Linked DNA regions of Callithrix jacchus. The protein of the gene in region 4 interacts with the protein of the main gene of each other region in a biochemical or structural test. Links are inferred from orthologs where the notes say so. Each region holds a gene or a part of one and is shown on either strand. Other genes may lie near its edges. The genes, in order: ADRB1, CRHR1, PTEN and MAGI2.

The links.
Region 1: the proteins of MAGI2 (region 4) and ADRB1 interact in a test that uses a peptide from one of them, tested with the Homo sapiens proteins (4 studies listed by IntAct, with this or other methods). The link is inferred for Callithrix jacchus from reciprocal best matches to the Homo sapiens genes MAGI2 and ADRB1.
Region 2: the proteins of MAGI2 (region 4) and CRHR1 form a complex in vitro, tested with the Homo sapiens proteins (2 studies listed by BioGRID and IntAct, with this or other methods). The link is inferred for Callithrix jacchus from reciprocal best matches to the Homo sapiens genes MAGI2 and CRHR1.
Region 3: the proteins of MAGI2 (region 4) and PTEN form a complex in vitro, tested with the Homo sapiens proteins (2 studies listed by BioGRID and IntAct, with this or other methods). The link is inferred for Callithrix jacchus from reciprocal best matches to the Homo sapiens genes MAGI2 and PTEN.

Annotation. Positions count from the first base shown.
Region 1 is NC_133513.1:106,980,869-106,988,816, forward strand, and holds ADRB1 (beta-1 adrenergic receptor), read left to right. Parts: upstream 1-3,302; 5' UTR 3,303-3,571; coding exon 3,572-4,999; 3' UTR 5,000-6,292; downstream 6,293-7,948. UniProt on the Homo sapiens protein: Beta-adrenergic receptors mediate the catecholamine-induced activation of adenylate cyclase through the action of G proteins. This receptor binds epinephrine and norepinephrine with approximately equal affinity.
Region 2 is NC_133506.1:86,533,283-86,541,136, forward strand, and holds the start of CRHR1 (corticotropin-releasing factor receptor 1), read left to right. Parts: upstream 1-2,972; 5' UTR 2,973-3,265; coding exon 3,266-3,298; intron 3,299-7,854.
Region 3 is NC_133513.1:80,556,838-80,564,247, forward strand, and holds part of PTEN (phosphatidylinositol 3,4,5-trisphosphate 3-phosphatase and dual-specificity protein phosphatase PTEN), read left to right. Parts: intron 1-3,604; coding exon 3,605-3,790; 3' UTR 3,791-7,410. UniProt on the Homo sapiens protein: Dual-specificity protein phosphatase, dephosphorylating tyrosine-, serine- and threonine-phosphorylated proteins.
Region 4 is NC_133512.1:72,036,525-72,043,934, reverse strand, and holds the end of MAGI2 (membrane-associated guanylate kinase, WW and PDZ domain-containing protein 2), read right to left. Parts: intron 3,999-7,410; coding exon 3,343-3,998; 3' UTR 1,073-3,342; downstream 1-1,072. UniProt on the Homo sapiens protein: Seems to act as a scaffold molecule at synaptic junctions by assembling neurotransmitter receptors and cell adhesion proteins. Plays a role in nerve growth factor (NGF)-induced recruitment of RAPGEF2 to late endosomes and neurite outgrowth.

The DNA.
Region 1 (7,948 bases), on a different chromosome or scaffold from region 4:
TGGCGGGATGGGAAAGGAAGAAGTGGGGGCAGGAACTCTGCAGAAGACGTGCACAACCTCTCAAGATCAGCCTTCATCGTTGGCGCTTTCTGTCATTTTCCAAAGTACTGTCAAATATACGGGTTTTTAGAACTAATTTGCTTTAACAGTTGCAAGTGAATAATGAAGAAATGAGGGAGTTTTGTTCAACTTACAATATCCAGTACTTGTATAAGTTCATATGTTTTTATTCTTGATCTTGTATCCTTACTAAGAACAAAAAGTGTTAGGCTAAAAAATGTTACACACACACACACACACACACACACACACACACCCTAACCATAAAATGTAGGAATCAAAGGAGTTCCGAGAATATTTTATTTTTATTAGACAACCAACACTATTGAACATGAACTATTCCAAACTCTCCTGTCAGGAAAATGGAAGGAAATTCCCAAGAATTCCTGAGATCCCTGTATGGATACTCCTGCTAGAATAGCCTTCTGGTTTTCAGTGTTTATAATTTAATGTATTTATTATACAGAAATTCAGAGAAACTTGATGTATTTCTGAATGAGCAGGGGAAAAAGTTTCAGGAGAGTTTTCAACAATTCAAATGTCACAGTGTGTTTATATACGTAATGATGATACAGCAAAGTTACTGGCATCTGGCTTCTGCCCTGAACCTCTACAACCAAGTTCTGGCCTTATCGCACACAGAAAAGCAATGCCTTCCACCCTTCAAGGCCATTTAAGGTTGGTACACTATTCTGGTAACACCACTTGACAGAAAGATGGCAAGGAAAAACCTCTTCCCCACATTCCCTGTGCCTCACCCTGCAGCCCAGCACTCAGAGCTCCTTTCCTGAGCAGCATCAATTTCAACTTCTTCCAATCCCTTGGCTATTTTGAGACTGCCCCTTGGGGGCCCAGAAAGAAGCCAGAAGGCTGGGCACAGTTGCTCACTACTGTAATCCCAGCATTTTGGGAGGCCAAGGTTTTCGAGACCAGTCCATGGTGAAACCCTGTCTCCATTAAAAATACAAAATTAGCTAGGTGTGGTGGTACATGCCTGTAATCCCAGCTACTTGAGAGGTTAAGGCTGGAGAATCCCTTGAACCCAGGAGGCAGAGGTTGCAGTGAGCCAAGATCGTGCCACTGTACTCCAGCCTGGGCAACAAGAGTGAAAAAGAAGGAAAGAAAGAAAGGAAGAAAGAAAAGAAAGAAGAAAGGAAAGCAAAGACAAAAGGAAGGAAGGAAGGGAGAAAGAGAAAGGAAGGAGCGAGGGAGAGAGAAAGAAGGAGAGAAAGAGAGCGAGAAAGAAAAAGAGGGAAAGAAAAGAAAGAGAGAGAGAAAGAAAAGAAAGAGAAGGAGAAAGAATGAAAGAAAGACGCCAGGAATCTCAGGCTTGCGGTGACATGGAAAACTTGGGGTGTAGTCTCCTTCTTCCCCTTTTTCTAAGTCCTCTTGTTTCCTGGCACCCCTCCTCAACCCCCCCAAGTTGGCAAATCAGCTGATAAATCCTGGGCAGGGAGTGAATAAGCAAATTACTCCCCAGTTGTAACACTCTAACCATCAGTCTTGGGCCTAAAGCAAATTCATATGTTTGCATTTCTGTAAAAGAAAGTGGTTAAAACTGCTTGGCTTTATATAAACTTTAAAAACATTCCTTTTTGCTTTTGACCTGGACAGCTGTGGAAATCAGTCTCTCCTTGCAAGGTAAGAATATGAGCTTGATCATACTGACGACCAACATCAGCAAAGATGCTGATGTTCATTGCAGGCACTGTTCTTACTCCAATGCCAGAAGGACCTGTGAGAATTATATAACATTTTCATGCACCCTTACATAAACAATTAGAAGCTGTTTACTTCTCAAGGACCCAATTAAAGATATTTTGTTTTTCGAGCCTGAACTGAGGACACTACAGGGGCCAAATGAGAGAAGGGGCTTGCAGTCCTGCCGCACTGAATATTCATGGCTGTGCCCCCACCCCAATATAATCCATTTCGCCAGGTTAACAACTCACTCATTTCAAAGCGATTCATTTGCCAACTCAAAAAAACACAGATACAACTTTAAATGCTTTCGGATTTTAATCCTCTGGAGTATTTATATGTGTTCTTGTCTCATCCCTCCAAAACTAATCCCAGAGTTTTGAGAATCTGGGAACTTGGGAAAAGGAGAAAACAAGCAGCAGACCAAGGAATCTGAAATGGTAGTTCATGACGTCAGCCGAAACTGACAGTACCTTTGTGTTGGTACTGACCTAGCTCAAATTACAAAATCACAAGAGTAATAAAACACAAAATACAGGTGTTATCACTGACAAGTCTAAAATGTAATTAAGCATGTTTTTTTTCCCCTCGCAGTCGTACCGTTTGCTCTGTATCTCAACGTTTCTGTCTCCCTAAGCCTCTCCCTTTATCATGAGCACACACCGTTGCATCTTGCTCACACATTCATTAGCTGGGACTGAGGAGTGAATACGATGCCAGCGGGTCCTCAGCGTTAGCTGTTAGATGCACAAACCTTCGCATCCTTTCCACTTCCACTGCACTTGAGGTTCAACAGAAGATCCCTGCAAGAACAGCGCCCAGAGAGCATTCTGAACAGATGCGCCCTTGGCTCCAGCAACCCGCTCTGCTGGGAAGTTTCCTCTAACCACTAACACCCACCTCTGATCCCCCAAGCTGTCACGACACAGGCTGGCTGGGTCGCCTCTTGACGGGGGAAGGGTTTTACACACACCCTGCTAGGCTGCCCCATGCCACAACCAAGCTCGCAGGGCAAACTCCTTCATGCCCGGCGGGCAAGCAGTCCCAGGCGCTCTGGCGCTTCCAGAACACCAAGGTCCCCTCCTCGCTCCAAGGAGCGAGCGCTCTCTGCCGCAGGGAACCCCCAGGACTGCAGGTCGAGGGGATGCTGGGGAAGCAGGGGCGCAGGAGGGAGCCTGGCGCGGGAGGCAAACGGGGCGCAGCAGCGGCTGCGGGAGCACTTGGGGGCCGCGGGAGGGGGCGGGGCCCCTCGGGGGAGCCGGGCGCGGGAGGGGGTGCGCGGAACAGGGACCTGGAACCAGCGGGCGCAGGAAGGGGCGCGTCCGCAGGAACCCGCGGGCCGCACGGGAGGCACTAGCTCCGCGATCAGCTCCGGACTCTCAGGAGCGGCTCAATTGCCAACTGGAGTGGGGTGCGGGGAGTTGGGGGGGGCAGACCCGACGGGGGCGTGCCTTTGCCCCGATTGGCTACAGGAACCTGACGCGAGGCCCCGGGGGTTGGCTTGGGGAGGTGGGAGCGGGGTGGGGTGGGTGCTGGGTGCCGGAGCTGCGGGCCCGGCGCGCTCAGAAACATGCTGAGGTCCCGGCGGCTCTTCCAGCAGCGGCAGCGGCGGCGGCGGCGGCGGCGACAGCGACAGCGCTCGGATCCGGCGGGAAAGGCGCCCGGCGCCCATGCCTCCGGCCCCGCGCCGTGGCTGTCCTGACCCGGCCGCGACCTCCCTCGGCGCACCCCGCCGCCCGGGCTCCTGGGGTGTTCCCTAGCCACTGCCCAGCCCCGCCACACCCACCGCCCCCGGCCTCCGCAGCTCGGCATGGGCGCGGGGGCGCTCGTCCTGGGCGCCTCCGATCCCGCCAACCTGTCGTCGGCTGCGCCGCTCCCCGACGGCGCGGCCACTGCGGCGCGGTTGCTGGTGCCCGCGTCGCCGCCCGCCTCGCTGCTGCCTCCCGCCAGCGAAGGCCTCGAGCCGCTGTCGCAGCAGTGGACGGCGGGTATGGGCCTGCTGATGGCGCTTATCGTGCTGCTCATCGTGGCGGGCAACGTGCTGGTGATTGTGGCCATCGCCAAGACGCCGCGGCTGCAGACGCTCACCAACCTCTTCATCATGTCCTTGGCCAGCGCCGACCTGGTCATGGGGCTGCTGGTGGTGCCGTTCGGGGCCACCATCGTGGTGTGGGGCGGCTGGGAGTACGGCTCCTTCTTCTGCGAGCTGTGGACCTCGGTAGACGTGCTGTGCGTGACGGCCAGCATCGAGACCCTGTGTGTCATCGCCCTGGACCGCTACCTCGCCATCACGTCGCCCTTCCGCTACCAGAGCCTGCTGACGCGCGCGCGGGCAAGGGGCCTCGTGTGCACCGTGTGGGCCATCTCGGCGCTGGTGTCCTTCTTGCCCATCCTCATGCACTGGTGGCGGGCGGAGAGCGACGAGGCGCGCCGCTGCTACAACGACCCCAAGTGCTGCGACTTCGTCACCAACCGGGCCTACGCCATCGCCTCGTCCGTGGTCTCCTTCTACGTGCCCCTATGCATCATGGCCTTCGTGTACCTGCGGGTGTTCCGCGAGGCCCAGAAGCAGGTGAAGAAGATCGACAGCTGCGAGCGCCGGTTCCTCGGCGGCCCGGAGCGGCCGCCCTCACCCGCCCCCGCGCCCGCGCCGCCGTCAGCGCCAGGACCCCCGCGCCCCAACGCCGCCGCCGCCGCCGCCCCCCTGGCCAACGGGCGCGCGGGCAAGCGGCGGCCCTCGCGCCTCGTGGCCCTGCGCGAGCAGAAGGCGCTCAAGACGCTGGGCATCATCATGGGAGTGTTCACGCTCTGCTGGCTGCCCTTCTTCCTGGCCAACGTGGTGAAGGCCTTCCACCGCGAGCTGGTGCCTGATCGCCTCTTCGTCTTCTTCAACTGGCTGGGCTACGCCAACTCGGCCTTCAACCCCATCATATACTGCCGCAGCCCGGACTTCCGCAAGGCCTTCCAGCGCCTGCTCCGCTGCGCGCGCAGGGCCGCCAGCCGGCGCCACGCGGCCCACGGGGACCGGCCGCGCGCCTCGGGCTGCCTGGCCCGGCCCGGTCCTCCGCCGTCGCCCGGGGCCGCGTCGGACGACGACGACGACGATGTCGTCGGGGCCACGCCGCCCGCGCGCCTGCTGGAGCCCTGGGCCGGCTGCAACGGCGGGGCGGCGGCGGACAGCGACTCGAGCCTGGACGAGCCGTGCCGCCCCGGCTTCGCCTCGGAATCCAAGGTGTAGGGGCCCGGCGCCCCGGAACGGCTTCCCGGGGGATCTCGGAGATCTGTGTTTACTCAAGACCGAAAGCAGGTGAACTCGAAGCCCACAAACCTCGTCTGAATCATCCAAGGCAAACAGAAAAGCCACGGACCGTTGCACAAAAAGGAAAGTTTGGGGAGGGGTGGGAGAGTGGCTTGCTGATGTTCCTTGGGTTGTTTTCCTTCTTCTTCTGTTTGTGGTCCGGCCTTCTTTTGTGTGTGCCTGTGATGCATCTTTAGATTTTTCCCCCCAGGTGGTTTTTGACTCCACGAGGATGGGAGTGGAAGCTGGGTGGGCAGGGGAAGGGAGAAGAAGCATTAGGAGGGGATTAAAATCCGATCAACCTGGCTCCCGACCCTGTCCCAGGAACAGGGGCAGTCTACCAGCCAGAGAGAGGAGAATGACAGTTTATCAAGGCATATTTATTTCCTTTTGCTTTCCAGAGAAATTTCATTTTAATTCCTAAGTAATGGTTTCCGCTGTTATGAAAGCGAAAAGGATGGATGCAAAAAAAAAAAAAAAATCACGTTTCAAGAAATGTTAAGCTCTTCTTGGAACAAGCCCCAATTTGCTTTCCTTGTGTAGGGCAAACCCTCTGATCCCCCGCGCGCCTGGATGGTCAGGCTACGGGATTTCTACCTCACACTGTGCATTTGCACAGCAGATAGAAAGACTTGTTTATATTAAACAGCTTATTTATGTATCAATACTAGTTGGAAGGACCAGGCGCAGAGCCTCTCTCTGTGACATGTGACTCTTGTCAATTTAAGACAGGACATGAAAAGAGAGAGAGAGACAGTTTTGATTACTGCACATGTGGATAAAAACAAAAACAAAAAAAGGAGTGGTTCAAAATGCCATTTTTGCACAGTGTTAGGAATTACAAATTCCACAGAAAACATTACTTGCACAAAAAGAAGTTAAATATTTTTTAACTGGGGAAGTGGTGGGCAGATCTTAAAAACTAAAATAAAATTCAAGCTCTACTTCTGTTGTCTAGTATGTTATAGAGCTAATGATTTATTGGGAAAATACCTTTTTATACTCCTTTATCATGGTACTGTAACTGTATCCATATTATAAATATAATTATCTTAAGGATTTTTTATTTTTTTTATGTCCAAGTGCCCACGTGAATTTGCTGGTGAAAGTTAGCACTTGTGTGTAAATTCTATTTCCTCTTGTGTGTTTTACCAAGTATTTATACTCTGGTGCAACTAACTACTGTGTGAGGAATTGGTCCATGTGCAATAAATACCAATGAAGCACAATTGAGATTATGTATCGTGTGTCTGTACGGGGTCAGCAATAATGAAAAAGACAGCTTGTTTTGTTCAGAATACAGACTGGATTTCTATAGAGCTCTTTTAATAGGTTTTCATGATTCAATAACATAGCAAAATGCCTCCAGACCAAATAAGGTGTTTACCTACTGAGAGCTCCAGATTTGCCCTAAATTTTCACAGCCAGATTAAATGTGTAGGCACTTTCAAGATCCCATCTGCTGCACTTGACTTAAGAAGTGACATTTGGGATTGCTTATATTCTAAAAATAAATTTAAAAACCAGTGATGTGGCCATTTAACTCAGCTGCAACTTTCATGGAAATGCAGGAAAGACTCATTGAATGATCAGTTGCCTACTTGGAATGCAGTAAGTGGCTTCCACAGCTTATTTTTGTTTTCCAATAGAAAATCACAGCCTGCAGATGATCAGTGTGTGCAGATTTCTCCAGAGGCTGTTTAGAATGAAAAATGCTTTCATGGTTAAGCAAAAATATATAAAAGGGCTTCTGAAGTAAATGTTTTTCCTCTAGCGTAGTCAAGTAGATCATTTTGCCAGAAGTTCTGGGTGGACAGATCACAGGTAAAAGCAAATGTGAAAGGATTTAAGTTTCTAAGAAAATTAAAGCACCCAAAGGATGGGGTCTTTTTCATAAAGTTAGTTCCTAAAGGAAAGTATGGTGAAATTCTGTCCTGATAGTGATTTTACATTATCCAAAATACATTAAAATACTCTATTTTTAAATAGGCTTTTTATATCATGACCATACAGTAAAGAAATCAAAGTAAAGAGTATTCATGTCTGGCTTATGCTACACTTTAACACGAGAGAGTATTCTCTAATAGGGAAATGTCGAGACTGAACATTGTTTTTTGCAATGGCATATTCTAAAGACAAGGCAACCATCTTCTGAGAAAGGTTAATGACGTAGATGTTTTAGAGACCAGCAGAAGGTTGCACAAACAGGAGCAGCCTCAACAAAAGCTGCTATGAAGTTTAACCCCTTTCCAGCAAGAAAGAGAGAGAGAGAGAGAGAAGAAAGAAAGAAAGGATGAGCTTCTTTAAGAATATAAAAATAAATATTTAAAGAAATATATTTTGGAGCATGTATAATCAGTCTCGGGATGAATGTCACTATAATTTCCCTAGGAACCAAATATGGTTAATTTCTATCCACTCCCCACCATGAGTGTGTAAGATGCATTTTCTTAGGGGTTTTGTCCTTTTTTGTCTGAAATTACTAGACACTGAAGTAGCAGTTAAATGCTTCACTTTCTTGATTTCCTGATTATTTACTTATTTTGTCTAGATAAGTCTTCACATTTAAATGAAAAGAAATCTTCTCAGCCCAAAACATATATACGGGCCCATCAAATTTCAGGTATTAAATGACAAAAGTCCTTTAAGCTTTAAGAACAAATGTATATAATTTAACCACTTAGTACCCAGGCTCAATCACTTTAGTGAGTGAGAGGAAGCCCCTATAATCTTGGGACTGGTTTCTATGTATTGGCAGGAAATAGGATAGATTTTTTTGTCATCCCCCATGCTCTCCAACTGAGTATTACGTGGATTCAGAAACGGACCCTGTCAGTGATTCCAAATATCCGTGAAGACTACTTTTCGTCGATTTTGAAGAAGGCAGCC
Region 2 (7,854 bases), on a different chromosome or scaffold from region 4:
TGCAGGCCTGGACAGGAAGGGGAGAGGTCAAGGGAGGGATGGGATGAGAAGAGAGTTTGGGGAAGATCAGGCTGGGAAAAGAATGCTGGAATGGAGTAGAAGCCTGTCCTGAGGAGGGTGTGCAGAGGCTGCTAAGACCACCCCAAGCCATGGGGCTGCTCTGGCTAGGGCTGAGAGGGGAGGCAGGGTATGGGAGGGAGGGACAGGGCAGACACTAGCAACTTCACCAGGCCTAGGAGATGAGAGCCAGGCCCTTGAAGGTGAAAGAAAGTAGCTTCAGGACAAATGAAAGGGGATATTGAACCTTTTTAAAGAGGGAATGTTAAGTGCCAAACTTTATAACCCCCCTGAGGCTGCCAAGGCCAAAACTATTAATAAGTAGGTCGAGGAATTAGGCAGATGCCTCCCTCCTCCTACCTGCTAGTCTGCCGCTGAGGTGGGGTGTGGTGGGGTGGAAGGTAAATCAGTGAAATCAACACGAACAGGATGAAATGTGCTATCTGTAGACGCCACTTCAAAAAGCGAGAAGGTCTGACTCCTGGGCAAAAAAGTCAGGAAGAGCCAGGCTTGATTGCAGTCCAATCGATGGCATTAGCATATTTAAAGATCATGTCAAGGAGATGATAATGGGGCTCAGAGAGGCAAAATTTGATGGTGTTTATTAAGCAGAGAGAAACACAGAAGCTGGAACTGTCTAGTCCCTAGAGAGTGTGCTCCAAGGTGGGGCCAGGGAGGGAGCGGGGCCTTGACTGGGCCTGGCCAAAGCTCCTAGAGGACCAACCGGCTTCTTCTCCTCTGATTCCCAAATCTACTGCTGCTGGTGACTTTCTTATCAAGATTTCTGCTCCCCACAAAGAATCGCCTAGAGGGAGGGACCAAGCTGCCCCTCACACTTGAGCATCCAGTCCACTCCATCGTGATGATTATGTTGATGTTGATGATGATGATCGTATTGGTGACTACAGCTAACCCTCATCAAGTTCTTGCAATGTGTGCCAGGCTCCGTTCCAAGCTCTTTACAAATATCAGCTCCTTCTAACTCCCCAACCATTCTCAGAAGTAGCGTTTCTATCCCGATTATATAGATGAGAAAATTGAGGCATTGTTAAATAATTCTCTTACTTTATACAGCTTGTTAGTGGAAAAGCCAAGATTCAAAGTCAGGCCGCCTGACTCCAGAACCTGCATGACATCAGACTGCCCTGCACTTAACTGTTGTTGAGGCCAGTTAGTTGGCCACCTGCTTAGCACGTCCATCCCATCTGGGGTTGGCTGGGGTGAGTCAGTGCCCAGCTCGGCACAACCATGCGGGTTTTGCAAGACTTGGGACTGTGTGCTTCACCTAGAAAGTGCCAGGTGTGTGGCTAAGCCATGTGAGCAGCTGGCTTCCTGGGCAATGACCCTCCCCACTTCAGAGCCCCAGGCCCCTTTAGGGCCCAGCCCTCCAGGTGCTGTGAGCTGGCAATCAGGAGAGGGAGCACTAGGCTTACCAGCTGTAGGACTTTGGACAGGTCACCACCCTCTGTGTGCCTCCATTTTCTCACCAGTAAATTCTATGTTGGATCATATGACCTCCTAAAATGACTCCAGCCCCAAATGAAGGCCAGTGGACCCATGAACATGCTGGCTCTTGCCCACTGTGCTGAGAAGTGGGTGGGAGGGAGTAGTAGGGTGGGCATAGCAGTGCACAGGATGCAGGGCAGGTGGGTTCAGTTTGATTTCAAAGCCGATTGCCCGCGCCTCAGGTGCTTTGGTGTACCCTATAAGGATTGCATAGGCCAGGCAGCCTAGGCTCTGCGGGTGAAGATTTCTCTACCTCCCAGTGACTCCTCTTCTCCCTTATCAGCTCTGATAGGAGAGAGGAAGAGGGAAGAGGACGTCAAAAGTTCTGTTCATCCGGAAGGGCTGGGAGTTACTTCCTGGGATGGGGAGCTCGTGAGCCAATCCAGAAGACGACCACGGGGTCTGGCGGGAGCCCCAACGCTGCCCTGAAGACTCGGCCGGGAGGGGGCGCTGTGGCCTCCCCACCCCCAGCCCGCAGGCTCCTAGCCGGGTTCGCCGCGCTGCAACGCAATCCGCACCTGGCTTTACCCAGGGCTGCGTTCAGTGCCCACTTGTCCTGCAGGGCACCGCCGTCTCCCTTTCATCTTGGGGCTCCCGGGTCCAAAAGGTTCCCAGATCCAGCCCCTTGCCTGAACCAAAGTGGGCAGGCACTCAGATTGTAAGATGAACGAATGAACGAAGGAACGAACTAATGAATAAGGGCTCATCCTGCAGAACGTTCGCGTCTCAGCGCGCACTAGGCACGTCAATGCCAAAGGTGCTGGGAGTCGGGCTCGGAGCCCGGCGCGGCTGGAGTGGGGGCGGCGAGGAGCTCCCGCTAGCCAGCTGCAGGGCGGGAACTGCCCAAACGCAGGTCGCAGCTTCCCCGGGTTCTGCGGCGGCTTCGCTCAGTGGGGACCGCCCTGTTCCACCGCCACCAATAGCCTCGCCCTCATAAATTCACCTGAGCACCCCCGCCCAAGTGCCCCCGGCTCCCCTGGACTTCCCAGGCCCGGACCTCTGCCCGGCGGGAGGTAGGAGGCTGCATCCTCTCCTGCCACCCCCTCGCCCATCCCGGGCTTCTCCCCGGGCTGCGGCGGCCGCCACCGCCGCAAGCACGCCCGGAGGACTGCCGCAAACCCGGGCGTAGGGAAAGGGGATCCTGGCGGCGGGGCGCAGGCGGCGGGCCAGGGGAAGAGGAGGGAGCGGGGAAGGAGCCGAGGGGCGAGGGGCAGGGAGGGAGCCGAGGGGCGAGGCGCGGAGGAGGGACCGAAGGGGAGGAGAGAGGAGGGGAGGGGAGAGGGAGAGGGAGAGGGAGAGGGAGAGGGAGAGGGAGAGGGAGAGGGAGAGGGAGAGGGAGAGGCGGGGGGGAGGGGGAGGGGAAAGGGGAGGGAGGGGACAAGCTGGGCGAGGGGGCGGGGAGCCAAGGCGAGGAGCCGCGCGGACCTTGCGGGAGGCGGCAGGGGCTAGGCTGGCAAGAAGCGGCCTCCCGCCGGGCTGAGTCGGGAAACGGCGGCCAGACTTCCCCGGGAAGGGGCGAGCGAGAGCCGGCCGGGCCGGGCTGCGGGGACGGGGAGCGCGGAACCGGGCGCCTCCTCACGGGGCAGCCACCGAGGAGTCCGGCCGCCCACCGCGTGCTGCCCGAGCCCGCAGCAGCCCGCCGGCCCCTCTGGGATGCCTGGGGGACCCGGGCGTTCAGGACAGTAACCGAGCGAGCCGGAGGATGGGACGGCACCCGCAGCTCCGGCTTGTCAAGGTAAGAGCCCGCCGGCCCGCCCTCCAGCGCGAGCGCCCCCAGCCCCGGGCAGACGCGGGACAGGCCGGGCTGTGGGTGCGATGGAGGAGGGGGCGCCAGGAGAGCGGCAGTCAGGTCGGGGAAGGCTGGGCTCTGGGGCAGCCTAACTCTCTGGACCTTTGGAGCCAGGGTTTGGTGGGCAGGGGGAGACTCAGGTGAGAAAAGAAATCGTGGCTGAGCCGCCGGGATGTTGGCGGAGGAGGGGTCTGCCCACTCGGGTAGCCGTTTCCGCGCCAAGAATCGCTCTAGGCTTTGGGGCAGACGCTGGGTTCCGCCTCCCACGCCCTCCCTGCAGACCCCGGCCCCAGGACGGGAGGCTCTGAAGCGGGGTTCCCCGCCTCGCCCCAGCACCTTCTCATAGCTCCCCGACTCCGCCCGCCCCCGCCCCAGTCCCGGGAGCGCATCCTGCTCCTTCTCCTCGGCTGCAAGCTGCGAGTCCAGGGAGATTAATGCGGCCCGCGCCTGCGAACCCTTGATCAATATCGCAGTCTCGGGGGAGGGGACCGTGCCTCCGGCGGCGGTTACCATTCCCTCGCCGCGGCCCGGGAGCGCAACACTCGCTCTCCGAGCCTGGGCACCGAGATCCCCGCGCTGCGCAGCCTACCCTGCGACGCGGATCGGTCGCTGGAGTTTAGGAAAGTCGCCAGACCTTACGTCCAGCGTCTGCCCGCTGAACTTCGTGGGCGGCGGGGGCGGCCCAAGGGCCGTGTGCGCCCGGGAAGGGCCGGGAGGCCGGCAGTCCGGCCCGCCCCTAGTGCCAGGCGTCACTTGCAGCCCCGAGCGCTTTCCACAGCGTTCTGGTCTTGCAAGGTGTAGGCGCGCCCGCTGCAGCCGGCCGGAGGGGCGGGTGGGCCTCTGCGCGGCTGCCGGGAAACCCCGTGCCGCACCCGCCTGGGCACGGCCTCGCCCGGGGCTCGGGATCCCTCAGGGTCCGCTTCAGCCACAGACGTAGACGCCAGCCTGACCCGGTTCGGGGCATTCAAAGCGATTACATTAAAGAGACTTTGGTGGATTTGGGGGAGGGGTGCGGATTGGCGGAATTTCATTTTTCCATCAGTTATTAAACCAACTGTACGTATAGCGGCTTACCAAGTGGTTTGAGTTAAAGCACCAAGATTTTTTAATGAGACGTTACAAGTTACTGAGATTTTTCTCTAATCCTGCCCCTCCCCAGATATTTATAAGTTGATTCTTGAAATGACTGAGGGTTGGTCTCATTGAACCCACATCCCCTCCCCTGTCTGTTACCTGAGGGCTAGAGATGAACTCAGAGATTATTTTCTGGGCGTTCAAGGAGACAGACGGATGAGGAAGGTGAAGAAAAACATCCAGAGAGGTCGAATAGGTGGCACTGAATGGGAATATTTTCCAAAAGTCTTGTGTGTATCGAAGCCTGGTCTAAATGCACAAACCAGTTAGACCAAATTCAGTCTTTTGAACGGATTCAAAGGATTGAAATGTGGGTGTTTTTGTTTTTTTTTTTTTTCCAGTTTACACTGAAATAGATCAATGTTCTTTTTCTGGCCTTCTTTAGAGTTGTGTGCAAATCTCTGTTTAGAATGATCATGTTTTTCTTTAAAAAAAAAAAAAGGGGAGTCTTTTTATTTCTGTTATTCCTACCAGATAGTGGGGTGTGTGCTCTTTATGACTGGCCTAATAAACTCAGTCAGCACTCAGTAAATACCAAATGAATGAGGCTGAGCCAGGGAATGGCCAGCGAATGCTGGTTTCAAAGCTGGTTTCTATTAAATAGTTGCTTTTTTCTTTTACTTATGTAGCATGTACAATTCACTGGGCATTATTCTACCTGCTTTGCAAATATTAAGTCATTGAGTCCTCCTAACAGCCCTAGAAAGTAGGAATTATTCCTGAGACACAGAGAGGCTAAGTAACTGGTTCAGGGTCACAGAGCCAGTGAATAGTGAAGTCAGAATTCAAACCTGGGCACTCTGATATAAGGCTTTGTTTTGTTTGCTTTTACCAGAAAATATCTTTTTTTTTTTCTTTTTTTTGGGATAGGGTCTCACTCTGTCACCCAGGTTGGAGTGCAGTGGTGTGATCTCAGCTCACTGAAGCCTCAACCTCCCTGGGCTCCAGTAATCCTCCCACCTCAACCTCCAGAATAGCTGGAACCATAGGCATGCACCACCACACCCAGCTAATTTTTGTATTTTTTATAGAAGTGGGGTTTCACCATATTGCCCAGGCTGGTCTCCAAACTCCTGGGCTCAAGCGATCAGCCAACCTCGGACTCCCAAAATTCTAGGATTACAGACGCGAGCCACTGTGCCCAGCCATTACCAGAAAATATGTTAAGCCCCTTAAACCTCACCCTAGATCTTAGCCAGATGAGAGCCCAGGTAGTTTTGCCAGCATGAGAGTATAAATCTAGGGACTTAGTGTTCATCCCAAATCCAGCGCTGTCCCCAGCAAGTCAGCCAATGTTGGGAAGGGTCCACTCTGGGGCCTATATTGTGGGCCTCGCACTGTACCGGTTACAGAGTCCTGGGGGGAAATGCGTGTAAATGGGGAGAAACAGGGTGTGTGACCGTGTATGTATGAGTGGGGAGGGACGATGTGTGTGCAAGTGGCCATGAGTCAGAAGACAGGCAAGACATTGTCTCTATCCCCAGGAAGGGGCAGGGGCCTGAGCACCTGGGAGTCACCCACGCACTCACTGCAGCTCCTCACAGGGAGGTGGAGTGTGACTCTAAACATGGGTCCCAGTGTCTGTGAGGGGTGCAGAAGGCAAGGCCTCTCCATGGGTTCTAACAGGAGAGTGATCTCCCAGGAGGGAGCTGGTTTTATTATTATTGTTATTCTTATGTAAGCAACTTAGCAGCTATAGGCAAAGTTTGAAAACCAGAATGGAAAAATGATTGCAACCTCACTCTCTGAATCCAGCTGTTGTGTAATTCATTTAAAAAATACCCCCACAGGTCCCCTTCTCAAGCACCTGTCTGGGCACAGCTGTGGCTGCCGGGCAGCCCACTCCCCAGTGTCACAGCCCAAGTCTGTTTCACGTTATCCGGAGCCTCCTTGGGAGAATATGTCTGCATGTTGCCTGCAAGTGAATGGACTTTGCCGTCCCTATATGGGTGCATATCTGGGCCATTTCCAAGTTGTTTCTTTGATTAAATGATATGGAGCCAGGTTTTCGAGGGGAGCATTGGCAGGAGCCATGAGGAATGTGAAACGATGAGCCCAGCGTGCGCCAGTGGGCTCCTGCAGCCTTCGGGAACTACTGGCCTGCCCACAGACCGGGGGCAAAGTCGGAGAGGGGTCCAAAAGCCTGGCCAAGCCCATCTGATTGGAAATGACCAGCCATAGAGAGGAGTGTGTAGATAATGGAAAAGTAGAATACTCACCCAGAGCCAGTGAGGACAAGCTCAAGTGGAAAATCCATTTCTCACCCTCTCTAACATTTGGCTCCTCAGAGAGCACTGTTCATCTTTTACCCTTTGTGGCGCTGGGCCTCACAATTGTTGCACATAGTAGGTGTTTAACAAATGTTTGTGGACTGGATGGATGGTTTTATTGTTGCTTCTTCTGTTAGGTATTGTACAACTGGAAAGAACCTGTTTCTGTTCCCACAGGATGCAGATGTCATGTCAAAACAGAAGGCTGAGAGATGCTCAAACCACCCTAGCTGAAAAGCCATCTCTGATGCAGAAAGGACTAGAACTCCCCCTTAAGCCCACTGTGGTTACTAGAAAAGAGAAAACAACCGCCAGCCAACGCAGCACCCTAGTGATCTGGAGAATCCCTTAGGGGTGGGGCTTCAGCCCGTGAAACTCCAGTGCTTTTGCTGTGTCTGGAGGAGAGCAGGTCGCTAGCAGTGATCTGGGCCGTTTCTTCCTCAGTTAAAAGAGGGAGTGGGGTGATCTCTCTCAGCTCTGATTCTACCCTAATCACTCACAGTATCAACAAAAGAACTGTGAGCCCATTTTGAAGGTAAAGCCAGGTCGAGATTTCAGCTGCAGTTTTAATAGTCAAAGAATGGATTTGTTAATTACAAATGATTCCTGTCTACCTAAATTCAGAGGTCCCTGTCAGCAGAGTCCCTAGGAAAATTTTTTTTTAGACAGGGTCTCCCTCTGTTCCCCAGGCTGGAGTGCAGTGGTGTGAACACAGCTCACTGCAGCCTTAACCTCCTGGGCTCAAGTGATCCTCCCACCTCAGCCTCCTGAGTATCTGGGACTACAGGCATGCACCAACTACACCTAGCTAATTTTTAATTTTTTTGTAGACACAGGGTCTTGCCATATTGCCCAGGCTGGTCTCGAACTTCTGGGCTCAAGTGATCCTCCCACCTCAGTCTCCCAAAGTGTTGGGTTACAGGTGTGAGCCACCGGGCCCGGCCTGCATCCTTTTGAAATGCTTGTCTTTGGACTTGTTGCTCTCAGACAGCCATCCCTCACCGCGCCTAATGTGGCAGTCAACATCTTGTATGGGTAGGAACAGCAAATGAAGCAAATGTGGGCTTGAATCCTGAATCTGCCCTGAAGCTGTGGCCA
Region 3 (7,410 bases), on a different chromosome or scaffold from region 4:
ACATCAGCCCTAGTCACCTTCTCTCCTTGCTTCTTGAGATTCAGACATACTGGTCTCTCTTCAGTTCTGCAAAATGCTAACTTCTGCCTCTAATCTTTCCAGTTCTTTTCCTTCTCCCTGTACCTTTCTATCCCAGCCTTTTCCCTGTCCTTCACATAGCTGTCTTCATATTTCCAGCCTTAGCTTCAATCTCATATCTCTGATTGTCCTCCCCTGTTATGCTTCTTAAAAGATCCTATTTCCTTATTTTGTGTCTTAGAATTATTTGGTTTGTCTCATTTTTGTCTATATGTGATACGTATATTTGTACCTAGGTATATATATCTACTTATAGACAAGAATTCTTCAAATTGAAAAACTCTGATTTGTAAAACATTCCAAAATGGTTATTGGCCATTTTTTTCTTCTGCTTTCCTATTTCTTATTCTACCTGATTTCCCCCTGTCCATTCACCATACTCTTTTCTTTCTCTTTTTTACTCTCGCTCTTAATTTTTCACTCAGTTTTTATAATATGTAACAAATCTATAGCTTCTGAGTATTAAGAATATTGCTAGTAATATTTTGCCTATAATCCTAGCACTTTGTGAGGCTGAGGCGGGTGGATCACTTGAGGCCAAGAGTTTAAAAGGCCAGTATGGTGAAACCCTGTCTGTACTAAAAATACAAACCTTAGCTGGGTGTGTGTCCCACATCTGTAATCCCAGCTACTTGGGAGGCTGAGGCATGAGACTCGCTTAAGCCTGGGAGGCAGAGGTTGCAGCAAGCCGAGATCACGCTGGTGCACTTCAGCCTGGGTGACAGAGTGAGACTCTGTCTCCCCGCCAAAAAAAAAAAATTGCTAGTAATAGTAATACTTAAAAATCAGTAAAGGGGCCCCTACATGTTTTAAGTGAAAATAGATCTAATATTAAATGCCTTTAGCTCTTAAATTTAAGTGTTGAGAAGTTTCCCTTTTTAAAAAAATTTTAATATATAATAATTATACATATTTATGGGATACAGAGTGATATTTTCATGTATGCAGTGTGTGATGATCAAATCAGGGTAATTAGCATATGGATTACCTCAAACATTTGTTATTTTTTTGTGTTGGGAACATTCAAAATTCTATCTTCTAGCTATTTGAAAATAGACAATAAATTATTGTTGACTCGTTACAGTTCTGTAGAACACTATAATTTATTCCTCCTATCTGTAATTTTTAATCTTTTAACCAACATCTTCCTATCCTCCCCTCTCCCTCCCTTCCAAGCCTCTAATAACCACACTCCTATGAGCTCAACTTTTTGAGCTCCCATATGTGAGTGAGAACATGCAGTATTGATCTTTCTGTACCTGACTGATTTTACTTAACATCATTTCCTCCAGGAAAGACATTTTCTTTAAAATCTACAGGTTTCCTTTGTTTTCTCTAAATCTGCATTTTGCTTAACCATTAACCTTTAAACTATCTTTTCCTTCTAGTTTTATTGTTTTCTGTTTTAATATTGCAAGATTTTTATATTTGTGATTACAAATAAAAGCTCTGTTATTAGTAAACAAATACAATGTCATATTGTGGTAAGTGCTATAAAAATAGAGAGAATAATCTTGGTTTGTGTGTTTTTTGTTTTTTAGCTAGGATGATTAGAGAAGGCCCAACCAAGCACATAATATTTAAGCAGAGCCTAAATCATATGAGTGAGTTATGCAAATATCTGGGAAAAGAGGGAAGAGTAGAGATGCAAAAGCCTTTAGGCAAGGAGCTTGGTGTATTTGAAGAGTGGATAAGTCATTTTGACTAAAACAGAGTAGACAAGAAAACCAGTCCATGTGTAAAGATACTTGTGTGTGTTCAGCATAGGAAGGATATAATCTGAATTTTGCATTTAATACTCCCTGTGTTTATGCTTTCAAAATATAGATAAGTGAGGAAAGTAGGGAGAAGGGGTAATAATTAAAGCTGAGAGATAGTTGAGGCACTTGAATAGTTTAGTAAAGGTGAGAGATGATGTTTTCTTCTTGTTGCCCTTCACTGCTTAGAATAGTGGCAGTGAAAGGTAACAAGAAGCTGTCAGATTAACTAAAAGGGTTTACTGATGGAGTGGATGTTGGTTGTAAGAGAAGAATAATTGATAATGACTCTTGGATAATAGGGAGGGGCTGTCAATATAATACAATGAAGAAGGGATTTGAAGTCAGATCTGATTTACATCTCAAATCTACTACCTACTATTTATAGATATGTGGCCTTTAACAAGTTCCCTAACCTTTCTGGGCCTTAGCTACCTCTCCTTGAAAACGGAAATACCTAACATATAGGGTTATTTTGACAGTTATTTTCACTATGCATGTAAAGGCCCTTGGCTCTCTGTTTAGACCACGTTATGAGGTTACTGTCCCTCTCCTTCCTTCCTTTAGGTGAAGTTTTTAGGGCTCATAAATTCTAAATATCAGTGTTGATCAGTAGTTTGTGTGTGTGTAGTGTTTATATCAAAAAATACATTGAAGTCGGGCACAGTGGCTCACGCCTAAAATCCCAACACTTTGGGAGGCCAAGGTAGGCAAATCACCTGAACTAAGGAGTTTGAGACCAGCCTGGGTAACATGGTGAAACCCTGTCTCTCCAAAAAAATATATAAAAAGTAAACTAGCTGGGGGTGGTGGCATGTACCCATAGTCCCAGGTACTTGGAAGGCTGAGGTGGGGGGTCACTTGAGCCTGGGAGTTCGAGGCTGCAGTGAGCTGTGAAGGTGCCACTGCATTCTAGCCTGGGTGACAGAGCAAGACCCTGTCTCAAAAAAAACAAAAAGAAAAAGAAAGAGGAAAAGAAAAAAAAAGAAAAGGAAAGGAAGGAAGGAAAAGAAAAAAGAAGAGAGGGAAGGAAGGAATTGATTTTTAGGTAACTAGTAAGAGAAACATTCTTTTTGAACTTAGCCATTTGTGAATTGAATTTTATAATTGAAAGGCTATATTATGTAAACTATTGATAGCTTTCAATCTTCATTTATTTTGTAGAATTATTTAGTTAATGTTTGCAGCTTATATTCTTTAAAAAATAAATTGAGGCCAGGCATGGTGGCTCATACCTGTAATCGTAGCACTTTGGTGGTTGAGGCAGGTAGATTGCCTGAGCTCAGGAGGTTGAGGCCGGTATGGGCAATATGGTGAAACCCCATCTCTACTAAAATACAAAAAATTAGCTGGGTTTGGTGGTGCACACCTGTAGTCCCAGCTGTTCAGGAGGCTGAGGCACGAGAATTGCTTGAAGCCAGGAGGCAGAGGTTGCAGTGAGCCAAGATCATGCCACTACACTCCAGCCTGGGCAACAGAGCAAGACTTTGTCTCCAGAAATAAAAACAAATAAATAAATAATATTAACATCCTGATAGTCTATTAGTATGTTAATTTTGGTACCTAGCAAGAAAGAAAATGTTGAATATCTTAATAAGAAGAGGGTCATTTAAAAGGCCTCTTAAAAATCATGTTTGTTACGTGCTTAAAAATTAGTGTGTTTATCTGCAAAATGGAATAAAAAAGTTAATCTGTTAAAAATGCCTTTCACTAAATAATTTAAGATGAGTCATATTTGTGGATTTTCATTTTAAATTTTCTTTCTCTAGGTGAAGCTGTACTTCACAAAAACAGTAGAGGAGCCGTCAAATCCAGAGGCTAGCAGTTCAACTTCTGTAACACCAGATGTTAGTGACAATGAACCTGATCATTATAGATATTCTGACACCACTGACTCTGATCCAGAGAATGAACCTTTTGATGAAGATCAGCATACACAAATTACAAAAGTCTGAATTTTTTTTTTTATCAAGAGGGATAAAACACCATGAAAACAAACTTGAATAAACTGAAAATGGACCTTTTTTTTTTTAATGGCAATAGGACATTGTGTCAGATTACCAGTTATAGGAACAATTCTCTTCCTGACCAATCTTGTTTTACCCTATACATCCACAGGGTTTTGACAACTTGTTGTCCAGTTGAAAAAAGGTCGTGTAGCTGTGTCATGTATATACCTTTTTGTGTCAAAAGGACATTTAAAATTCAATTAGAATTAATAAAAATGGCACTTTCCCATTTTATTCCAGTTTTATAAAAAGTGGAGACAGACTGATGTGTATACGTAGGAATTTTTTCCTTTTGTGTTCTGTCACCAACTGAAGTGGCTAAAGAGCTTTGTGATATACTGGTTCACATCCTACCCCTTTGCACTTGTGGCAACAGATAAGTTTGCAGTTGGCTAAGAGAAGTTTCCAAAGGGTTTTGCTACATTCTAATGCATGTATTCAGGTTAGGGGATTAGAGGGAATGCTCAGAAAGGAAATACATTTTATGCTGGACTCTGGACCATACACCATCTCCAGCTATTTACACACACCTTTCTTTAGCATGCTACAGTTATTAATCTGGACATTCGAGGAATTGGCCGCTGTCACTGCTTGTTGTTTGCGCATTTTTTTAAAAGCCTATTGGTGCTAGAAAAGGCAGCTAAAGGAAGTGAATCTGTATTGGGGTACAGGAATGAACCTTCTGCAACATCTTAAGATCCACAAATGAAGGTATATAAAAATGTCATAAGAAACACAGCAACAATGACTTAACCATATAAATGTGGAGGCTATCAACAAAGAATGGGCTTGAAACATAAAAATTGACAATGATTTATTAAATATGTTTTCTCAGTTGTAATGACTGCTCCATCTCCTGTGTAATCAAGGCCAGTGCTAAAAGTCAGATGCTATTAGTACCCACATCAGTCAACAACTTACACTTAATAGTTTCCAATCATATACCTGCTGTGGATGCTTCATGTGCTGCCTGCAAGCTTCTTTTTTCTCATTAAATATAAAATATTTTGTAATGCTGCACAGAAATTTTCAATTTGAGATTCTACAGTAAGTGTTTTTTTTTCTTTGAAGATTTATGATGCACTTATTCAATCCAATAGCTGTCAGCCGTTCCACCCTTTTGACCTTACACATTCTATTACGATGAGTTTTGCAGTTTTGCACATTTTTTAAATGTCATTAACTGTTAGGGAATTTTACTTGAATACTGAATACATATAATGTTTATGTTAAAAAGGACATTTGTGTTAAGAAATCAGAGTTGCAGTAAACTTTCAGCACTGCACAAAAAAAAGACATTTGATTTTTCAGTAGAAATTGTCCTACATGTGCTTTACTGGTTTGCTATTGAAAGAATAGGGGTTTTTTTAATGTGCAGTGTTGAATCATTTCTTCATAGTGCTACCCCAAGTTGGGACTAGGGCTTCAATTTCACTTCTTAAAAAATATCATATATTTGATATGCCCAGACTGCATACGATTTTAAGTGGAGTACAACTACTATTGTAAAGCTAATGTGAAGATACTATTAAAAAGGATTTTTTTTTCCAGAAATTTGGTGTCTTCAAATTATACCTTCACCTTGACATTTGAATATCCAGCCATTATATTTCTTAATGGTATAAAATTTCATTTTCAATAACTTATTGGTGCTGAAATTGTTCACTAGCTGTGGTCTGACCTAGTTAATTTACAGATACAGATTGAATAGGACCTACTAGAGAAACATTTATAGAGTTTGATGGCAAATAGATTAGGCAGAACTTCATCTAAAATATTCTTAGTAAATAATGTTGACATGTTTTCCATACCTCGTCAGTTTCATGCAAAAATTTTTAAATTTTTAACAAAGCTCTTAGGATTTACACATTTATATTTAAACATTGATATATATTGATTGATTGCTCATAAGTTAAATTGGTAAAGTTAGAGACAACTATTCCTAACACTTCACCATTAAAATTTATATGCCACCTTGTTTTTCATAAAAACTGAAAATTGTTACCTAAAATGAAAATCGATGTTTTGAAGATAGTTATTAATACTACTTTTTGTTACAATTTTGGGCACTGCATATTAAAACATAACTTTTATTGTTCCAATATGTAACATGGAGGGCCAGGTCATAAATAATGACATTATAATGGGCTTTTGCACTGTTATTATTTTTCCTTTGGAATGTGAAGGTCTGAATGAGGGTTTTGATTTTGAATGTTTCAATGTTTTTGAGAAGCCTTGCTTACATTTTATGGTGTAGTCATTGGAAATGGAAAAATGGCATTATATATATTATATATATAAATATATATTATACATACTCTCCTTACTTTATTTCAGTTACCATCCCCATAGAATTTGACAAGAATTGCTATGACTGAAAGGTTTTCGAGTCCTAATTAAAACTTTATTTATGACAGTATTCATAATTAGCCTGAAATGCATTCTGTAGGTAATCTCTGAGTTTCTGGAATGTTTTCTTAGACTTTTTGGATGTGCAGCAGCTTACATGTCTGAAGTTACTTGAAGGCATCACTTTTAAGAAAGCTTACAATTGGGCCCTGTACCATCCCAAGTCCTTTGTAGCTCCTCTTGAACATGTTTCCCATACTTTTGAAAGGATAGTTGAATAAATAGCATCACCATTCTTTGCTGTGGCACAGGTTATAAACTTAAGTGGAGTTTACCGGCAGCATCAAATGTTTCAGCTTTAAAAAATAAAAGTAGGGTACAAGTTAAATGTTTAGTTCTAGAAATTTTGTGCAATATGTTCATAACGATGGCTGTGGTTGCCACAAAGTGCCTCGTTTACCTTTAAATACTGTTAATGTGTCATGCATGCAGATGGAAGGGGTGGAACTGTGCACTAAAGTGGGGGCTTTAACTGTAGTGTTTGGCAGAGTTGCCTTCTACCTGCCAGTTCAAAAGTTCAACCTGTTTTCGTATAGAATATATATACTAAAAAATTTCAGTCTGTTAAACAGCCTTACTCTGATTCAGCCTCTTCAGATACTCTTGTGCTGTGCAGCAGTGGCTCTGTGTGTAAATGCTATGCACTGAGGATACACAAAAATACCAATATGATGTGTACAGGATAATGCCTCATACCAATCAGATGTCCATTTGTTATTGTGTTTGTTAACAACCCTTTATCTCTTAGTGTTATAAACTCCACTTAAAACTGATTAAAGTCTCATTCTTGTCATTGTGTGGGTGTTTTATTAAATGAGAGTTTATAATTCAAATTGCTTAAATCCATTGAAGTTTTAATTAATGGGCAGCCAAATGTGAATAAGAAGTTTTCAGTTTTCTTTGCTGCTGTCCTTCAAAGCCTACTATTAAAAAAGCATGGCCTTTGTTAGCTTAGGAGTAGAGTATCTGTCTACTCATGTTTAGGAAAAGGATTTATTTTAGGGCTTTGGTCATCACTTCATAAATTGTATAAGCACATTAAATAGCATTCTAGTCCTGAAAAAGTTCAAGATTCTTGGAAAATTGTGCATATTTTTGTTTTATTAAGCCAGATGTTTAAAGATAATTCCCCACAATGGATTTGCTACTTTAGATTT
Region 4 (7,410 bases):
TGGACTTGACAAACCAGCAGCTTCAGGGAGGGTACACTCACCCTTTGGACAGTCCCCACCTGACTCCTTCCTGTGTTCAGATTTTCCTGTCTGTACCTTGGAGATGTGAATTCATGATAAGGCCCTGTCCAAGCCAGCAGGGGCCTTGCTGGCCTCCCCCTAGTTTCTGCCCTGTTTCTGTCCTAGTCCTTTGATCTCTGACTTTCTGTGTTTTTAGTATCTTAGTAATTTGTATTTATTTTTTAAAAAATAAGTTGTGCAGTATGAATATTTATACTCCATTTAAATTAGTTTTTATAGAGGTCTTTTTCAGCTTGTACTGGCCCATTCTCAGATGACTTCATAAAGAATGACATGTACAAATTTCTTAATTTTTGTGTTCCATTTTACATGTCACCTCCTTTATAAAAACGATGCACAATATTAAAAAATTTTGTATTGGAATAAAAGATTGACAGTTTGGGAACTTTAGGCCCCCTACTGACAGGTGGAGAGGGGAGTCTTGATTAGTGTTGAAGTGTTCCTTCCGATTGTCAGGTCCTTGATGGCAGGGTTGTAATCACCCAAGGGTCAAACAGAACTTTCTCTTCCTACCACAGGCATTGTAATTCATGATAAAGCTATAGTCGACCGTTCATTTTGGATCTGTTCACTGCTGCTCACTATGCTGGCTTCTGCATGAACTCATGGGGATTTTGCATGAAGAACAATTCAGAATTAAAAGGAAAAAATGTGATGGAATTTATTACAGATTGATACTTTAGATCCCTTTTGAAAAAAGGTAAAGTATCAATCAATGTAGCAAGCAACAGAACTATATTGCCAATTCATAAGTTATGTAGTAACCTGACAAGTAAATACCAACTAGACTGAGAAGACTGTTTACTTAGGCCAAAAAAGCCAAGAATCTTTCCCATGTAATGCCACTGCATTTAGATTCAAGTTTCAAAAGAGTCCTATTTGGGGCCTTAAACTTAAAAAAGAAAACTGAAGTTTTGAAAAACTAGGTTAACCCCCAGTAATAATCTATTTTAAATTAACACACAGCCTATATAGTTGGAAAAAGAAAAGATTTTTGGATATATATTTTATTTGACAGTGTTTTAGAATATCATACAGTAAACAAGATTTCTGTAAAAGTTAATTTATCCATAGTGGTGCGTTTCATAAAAATAGTTGCTCACTTACAGTCTTTCTGTAACTATTAATACATGAAATTATATTTATAGAGATACAGCTGTACAGGGTAAATTCACAGCTAACACTACACAGAAATATTATTTGGAATGGGATTTAGATGATGTGCTGTCTTCACAGGTTATGGATTACAGCCGCATAAAGCAATTACTGCACAAGTAGTAGCTGTGAACTGTGCAAATTAGAGTTTATGCCAGTGTAATCTCAATTTTTTTTTTCCTTTTGTAACACATGGAAAATAAAGGTCAGAGGATACAGTACCAGGACGTGCAGCTACACTACAGAAGCGTTGTCCAAAACCAGATTCAATAAATTAATGGCAAACTATACTGGATTTCTAGTCCAGGGGAGAAAGACTAACTGAGATTAAACCAAAAGCATTATAAACTGCTACAAGTGTTTGTGCTTTTGTTTATGATGAATGGGTTTCATTTTTGGACATTGCTTTTACAAGCTGCAAGACCCTTCACTTGAGGCTTTTAACCTTATTCTCCTCGTGTCAAACAACTAAACTACTCTGATGACTACTCCGATGTCTGATGATTAAACTGCTACTCAGGATACTGCAATTACAAGGAGGGGGAATGATCAGCCCAGGAAGGCTATATTACGTGTGACCTTTGAGAAGGACCTGATCGCCTCTTTTACTCATTAGACTACAAGTGTAGGGAGGTGAAGCTTATTTGCATTTGAACTCCTGTAAAGAGTAAGAATATGGGAAGGATGAAGCCTCATTCATTTAGGGCATATTTTTAAAAAATTGCCTTCAGAAACACTTTGCCTTTTAATATGTGTAGCTACAGTAAGTACCAATGGATAATTAATTGAAGCTAACACTTCACAAAGAAATGCTAAAACAGTAGGGAAGGCAAGCCTTAGAATTTTACTAGGAGGCCAATCACAGATTCATGGAGATAAACAAATGTCTAGAGGTTGCTAACAAAATAAAAAATTGACAAAGGATACAAGACAAAAGCAAACTAATGGAAACAAAAGGAGAAAGAGTAAGGAAAGAAAGATAAGCAGAAAGGAATGCTAAATGGACTCACGTTCTTTAATGAAAATAAATTGGTTATAATTTTTTAACATTAGAGATTCATTATAATCTGAGAAATATAAGACAAATACTCTGCCTCCCTCTGTCAAAGTGCAAATGAAGTCATGGAGAGAGGGTTTAAAATAAGACAATAAAATAAGTGAAATATCACATTGCTGACAAAGAAGCTATCCATCTCTGCTAGCCTGGGACGACAGAACAGCCTCTTCATAAAGGAACTGCAGCGTTGCCAATCTTGATTAAACAAATTGTGGTCCTTCAATTATAAAATTTATAGTTTAGAGAAAAACCAATTAAGACCTATGAGCTAAACTGCAAAATTCTGATGTACGGCAAACCGTTCCCTAGGATACAATTTTAAACCTTTTTTTCCTACCACTGAAAATGTACAGAAATATGATTTGATTACAGAAATGGCAATAAAAATGGCATCACACCAATAAACTCACTAGATTTCTAAGTTATCCCGCAGGAGGCAGGGAATACTGCTGCTAACACCGAGGATGGATGCCAAGGATGAGCCATGGAAACATGTCATGGGTGAACAGTTCCGAATGCGTCAAAGAAACCCTTTAACCCCTGTCTAGATATGTCGAGAACAATTTATTTACAACGCTTTAGATCAGTTAAAAGATATAATCTTGTCTCAGTTTCAGCTTGCTCCGTGCAGTTTGATTTTTAAGGCGATATTCCAGTTTGTGATTGCTCTTAACTTGTCCAGTTTCTTGATATAAAGTTTGGATGACATCCAAATCCTTCATGCAGTGGGGAGGAATATTTTTCTTTTTCTTAAAACTAAAGCTACACTGCACTGTCTCTCTGTGATGTTCTTCACGTTATTTTGGTTCTTCCATAGCTGCCAAAGCCCCCACAATGGAACCGGGGGCTTTAGGATCAGTTTAAGTCTGTGCGTGGACGCGCTGCCGCCCATGCACACTGGCCACGTGGGACTTCACGTCGATGCTCCCAGGCCTTGGTGCCTCGTGGATCTATGCGTGTGACAGTGAAAATAAATTAAAACGCTGTGAGACAGAACCCAAGAAGAACGGCCCGTGCCGAGGCTGGGGGGCGGGCCGTGGCCGTGCGGTTCATCTGCTGGCGGCCGAGGCGCCGGGTTTGAGGACGCCCGGCAGCTTGTCGGAGCCTGGCACCTTCCAGGGCCCCGGCGCGACGGCGGCCTTGCGCGCGGGGGCGCCCCCCGGGGGTCGCGGGCCAGGCCGGGGGCCCGCACGCGCACCTGCCCTGCCCTCGGCCTCCCGCGCGCCGCCGCCGCCGCCACCACTTGTGGCGGCGAACGCGGGCGCAGCCCCGGGGCCTTCGCGCTTGCAGAGCTCGGAGCCCGCCACCGCGCGGGGCGCCTCCTTCCCACCCGCCCGTGCCACGTCCGCTGCTGCGGGCCCGGGCGCCCTGGCCTCCGAGGAGGGCCTGCCGGCCTCAGGCCGCCCCTGGCCGCCGGGCGCCTCCTCGAGCCTCGGCCGTGCGGCCCTCTGCGGACTCGCCGAGCGCTCCCTCTGCTCCCCGAGGCGCTGCTTCTTCTGGCCGCAGGCTGAAAGCTCCTTTGGTTTTCTAACGTCGTGTTCCCGTTTGATATCCCAAGTTGGGCCTGGGCTTATCTGGTGGGAAGGGTCGGAGGATGGGGCTGGATGTGATGGAGAGAATGGAGCGAGGCCGTCGTCCAGGGAGACGCCTACTTCCGGCAGACCTGGGGCGGCGGCAGCGGGAGAACTCCAGGGGGCGGATTCGTCTGTGGACGTGAAGCACAGGCATTAGCAGTGGCGCCCGCAGGCCGTCCCCGCGCCCTCTCTATGCCGGGGACAGGGGCAGGCAGCCGGGGCGACTGCTCTCAGCGGCCGGAGCCACCGCCACTCCCACCCTCACTGCCAAGAGGGCAGTGGCCGCGCCCCCGGGGATTTGGGGGTTCCCTCCGCCCCACTTATCCCCCACGACCCGAACCCCGTCCGTGGACTGGGAAGGCCAACGCGAAGCCCAGGCCTAATAGCTTCGCTTTGGGCTGGTAACTTCCCGGGGTGCCCTCGGGTCTGACAGTCTTGTGTGGACAGCTCACTTGACAGCTCTTGAATCAATAGGTCTCTAGCTCGAGCAGACCTTGGAATCACCAGGGTGGTGGTGAAAAATACAGATTCCCTGGGAGGACCAGGCCCGGAGATGTGAGCCGCACGGGGCCCAGGAAGGTCTCTATTTTTATCAGGCACCTGGGTGATTCTGAAAAAGGTGGTCTAGCAGAGATGTCCAATCTTTTGGCTTCCTTGGGCCACATTAGAATCGTCTTGGGCTACAAATAAAATACACTAACAATAGCCAATGAGCTTAAAAAAAAAGGACCATGTATAAATCTCGTTTTAAAAAAGTTCACACATTTGTATTGGGCCACATTCAAAGCTGGCCGCGGGTTGGACAAGCTTGGTCTCGAGCCAAGCTTTGAGAAACACAGGTCTGGGTTCTAAGTTGGGGAGTGACGTTCTCAACCAGTAGGTGTCACTCAAAGCATAGTCCTAGCTGCTGTCAGTTTCAGAATTTGGATACATTCAGTTTAAAAGATCATTGTTTTTAAAAAGTCGTCCTTTTTTTTTCCTTTTTAACCACAATTAGAAGAAAAAAATCGTTGTCCTTAATTTTTTTTTCTTTGCCAAGTCTGGATGAAACTTAATTCTTTTTAGTACTTCTAACATTATGGAGGGCCCCAAGACTAAGATAATTCTAGGAAGCCTAGTTCCAACATTTACTTAAGATTTAAGTTATCTACTTCCAAAAAGGATTTAAGACAATTGACAACATCAAAACACGTATAAAACAATGATAAAAATGAGAGATGACTTATTTTTTAAAAAAGCAACAGCTGATCAGAAGCCAAGTAGAAGGACAGATGTATTAGGAATCTGAGATGAGTTAACTGTTACTGTGAGCAACAACTAAGGGGAAATGAAAGTAGGGAAATCCAATTACTGTGATTCCTTGATATTTGTAAGAAATATGTCTCATGACCTTGAAAATGCTCAAATTTTGTGATATCATTCCAGAGTGTAATTTTTCTTCTGTAGAATTGGCATAGGGTCATGAGTGGAGAGCAAAGAAATCACATTGATAGATGTGAATTCTGAGTGCCAGGTAAGCCTCCCTCACTAGCTAAGAGATTCAGTCCCACACGGCAGCCTCAGTGCATGTGATTCAAGCTCCTGCCTCTGTAACATGTCAGAGGCTGTCAGGGATGCTTTCATATACTCAGTCCATTAATGTCCAGGGTCTACTTTGTTTGAAACTTGAGGGTTCTTATATAGTACCTTTGATACTGATTTGTAAAGCAATAAGAAGAGGAAAAGAGCAGTGGCGTTGGTTTTCCCAGTAATTCTTGCCATCTTTAGAATGGCAAATCAAAAAAGTTTATCATTGTATGTGAAATTTGAATGGAACATTTTGGGCATAATGTTAACCTTCCTTCTTCCATACACTGATGTCCATTATCATTTTCACATAGTGAGTGAAATCCTAGAAGAGCATCAGAAGCCCTGAAATATAATCCTGGCTCTGGCATGTATTTCCTGGTGATTTGATTTTTGGACAAACAACTAAATCTGAGCCTCAATTTCTTCCTTGTTGAGGTGGGAATAAAATATCCTATTTTACAGATGTGGGACATAGACCTTATAAGGGAAAGCACTTTGCAAGGGGAGGGTCAGTCACATTTTTTCTTTTGCACCCCACCTGCTGCCTACTTAAAGACTGAGCTCCTGTGAAAGCCACCTCACTAACTAGTACCTGTGCAGGTGAGGTTTTGAGTAAGTGCAATAAGGCAGTCATTTCCATGTGCTGTGATTCCCAGGTGTGGTTTTGCTACACCTCAGGTATCCTTGGTTACCTCAAGGAATAGTCTGAAATCCTTAAAGGCAAATGTATCCAGTGGAAATGAGAATGTTTTGTACTTTTGGCTGGGTTAGAGTTTAAAATCAAACTAGCAAATGATAGGTGGTGGCAATCCACCCATCTAGGGAGATACAGTCTAGAAGAGTTAAAAAGTGATCTTCAAAAGGCCAAAAGAGAGGGTAGCCTGTGCAAGAGTGATCTCTGACTTCTACCATGGTAATGATATTTCACATTTTAATAGCTCTTTTCCCCATTATTACATCACATATGGTAGAATTAATTAGCTGGCCTCAAATTACTTCTTAGATACAAGGAGAAGGTTGATATTATTCACACCATTTCCTGAAGGAGGAATTCAAGCAGAGAGAGGTTAAATAACTTGACCAAGATTACAAAATGGTCCAGTCTAGAGTAAAATTTTGGATTCCTTTACTCTTTGTACTTAGAAATTGTCACAAGATGTTACCCTGCAAATAGGATCAAAGTATGTGAAATGGGCATGGACAGTGGCCACTGACACCCAACAGCAACCAGATCTTGTCCTTAAGTAGAAGACGTGGCATTTATTTCTGAAAATCTTACCACATGTCTGGCATTGAACTGGAGAGTTCCTATCCAGGAAAATGCAAAACTATTAAACCAGACGAATAAATGTCCATCCATCATTAGTTGGCCTCAAATTACTTCTGAGATTCAGGGAGACACTCTTTTCTTTTCCTCCTCCAGTGATTTTTCATATGGTAAAATAAAAGGTGAAATTATTCACAAATTCAAAGATTCCTCTTATTATAAAAGTTTCTCAAGAGTTTGTTTATAGATCATTAAACACTTAACAGTGAGAGAAATTAAACGCTAAAATGTTCCAAGTCACTACTGATTAAAAATATTAATGAGAAATTAAAATTACTATTTCAAAGTGATTTAAAAGATGGACATCTATATGAGTGGTTGAATACTTTCATTTTTCTGCGTAGAAACTCTTCAGTTCAGTGCCAAACGTGGTACTTGCACAGGCATGAGCCTGCAAAGCTCTGTAAAGTACCAGGGGCCTCTTCAGCAGGCAGCCCTTATCCCACCTTGCCCTATATCACCTGCCTCAGCAAGGTGAGACAGATTGTGATGGACAGTAAGAACACTTCTCTAAGACTGGAAAATCTAGTTTTTATGAAATATTGACATACAATAACAAGAAGAGTTCAATTTAGTTCTGTTTCTTTAAGACCATGTTTTTCTTCTTGCCTGCCTGCCTCCCTGCCTGCCTCCCTCCCTGCCTCCCT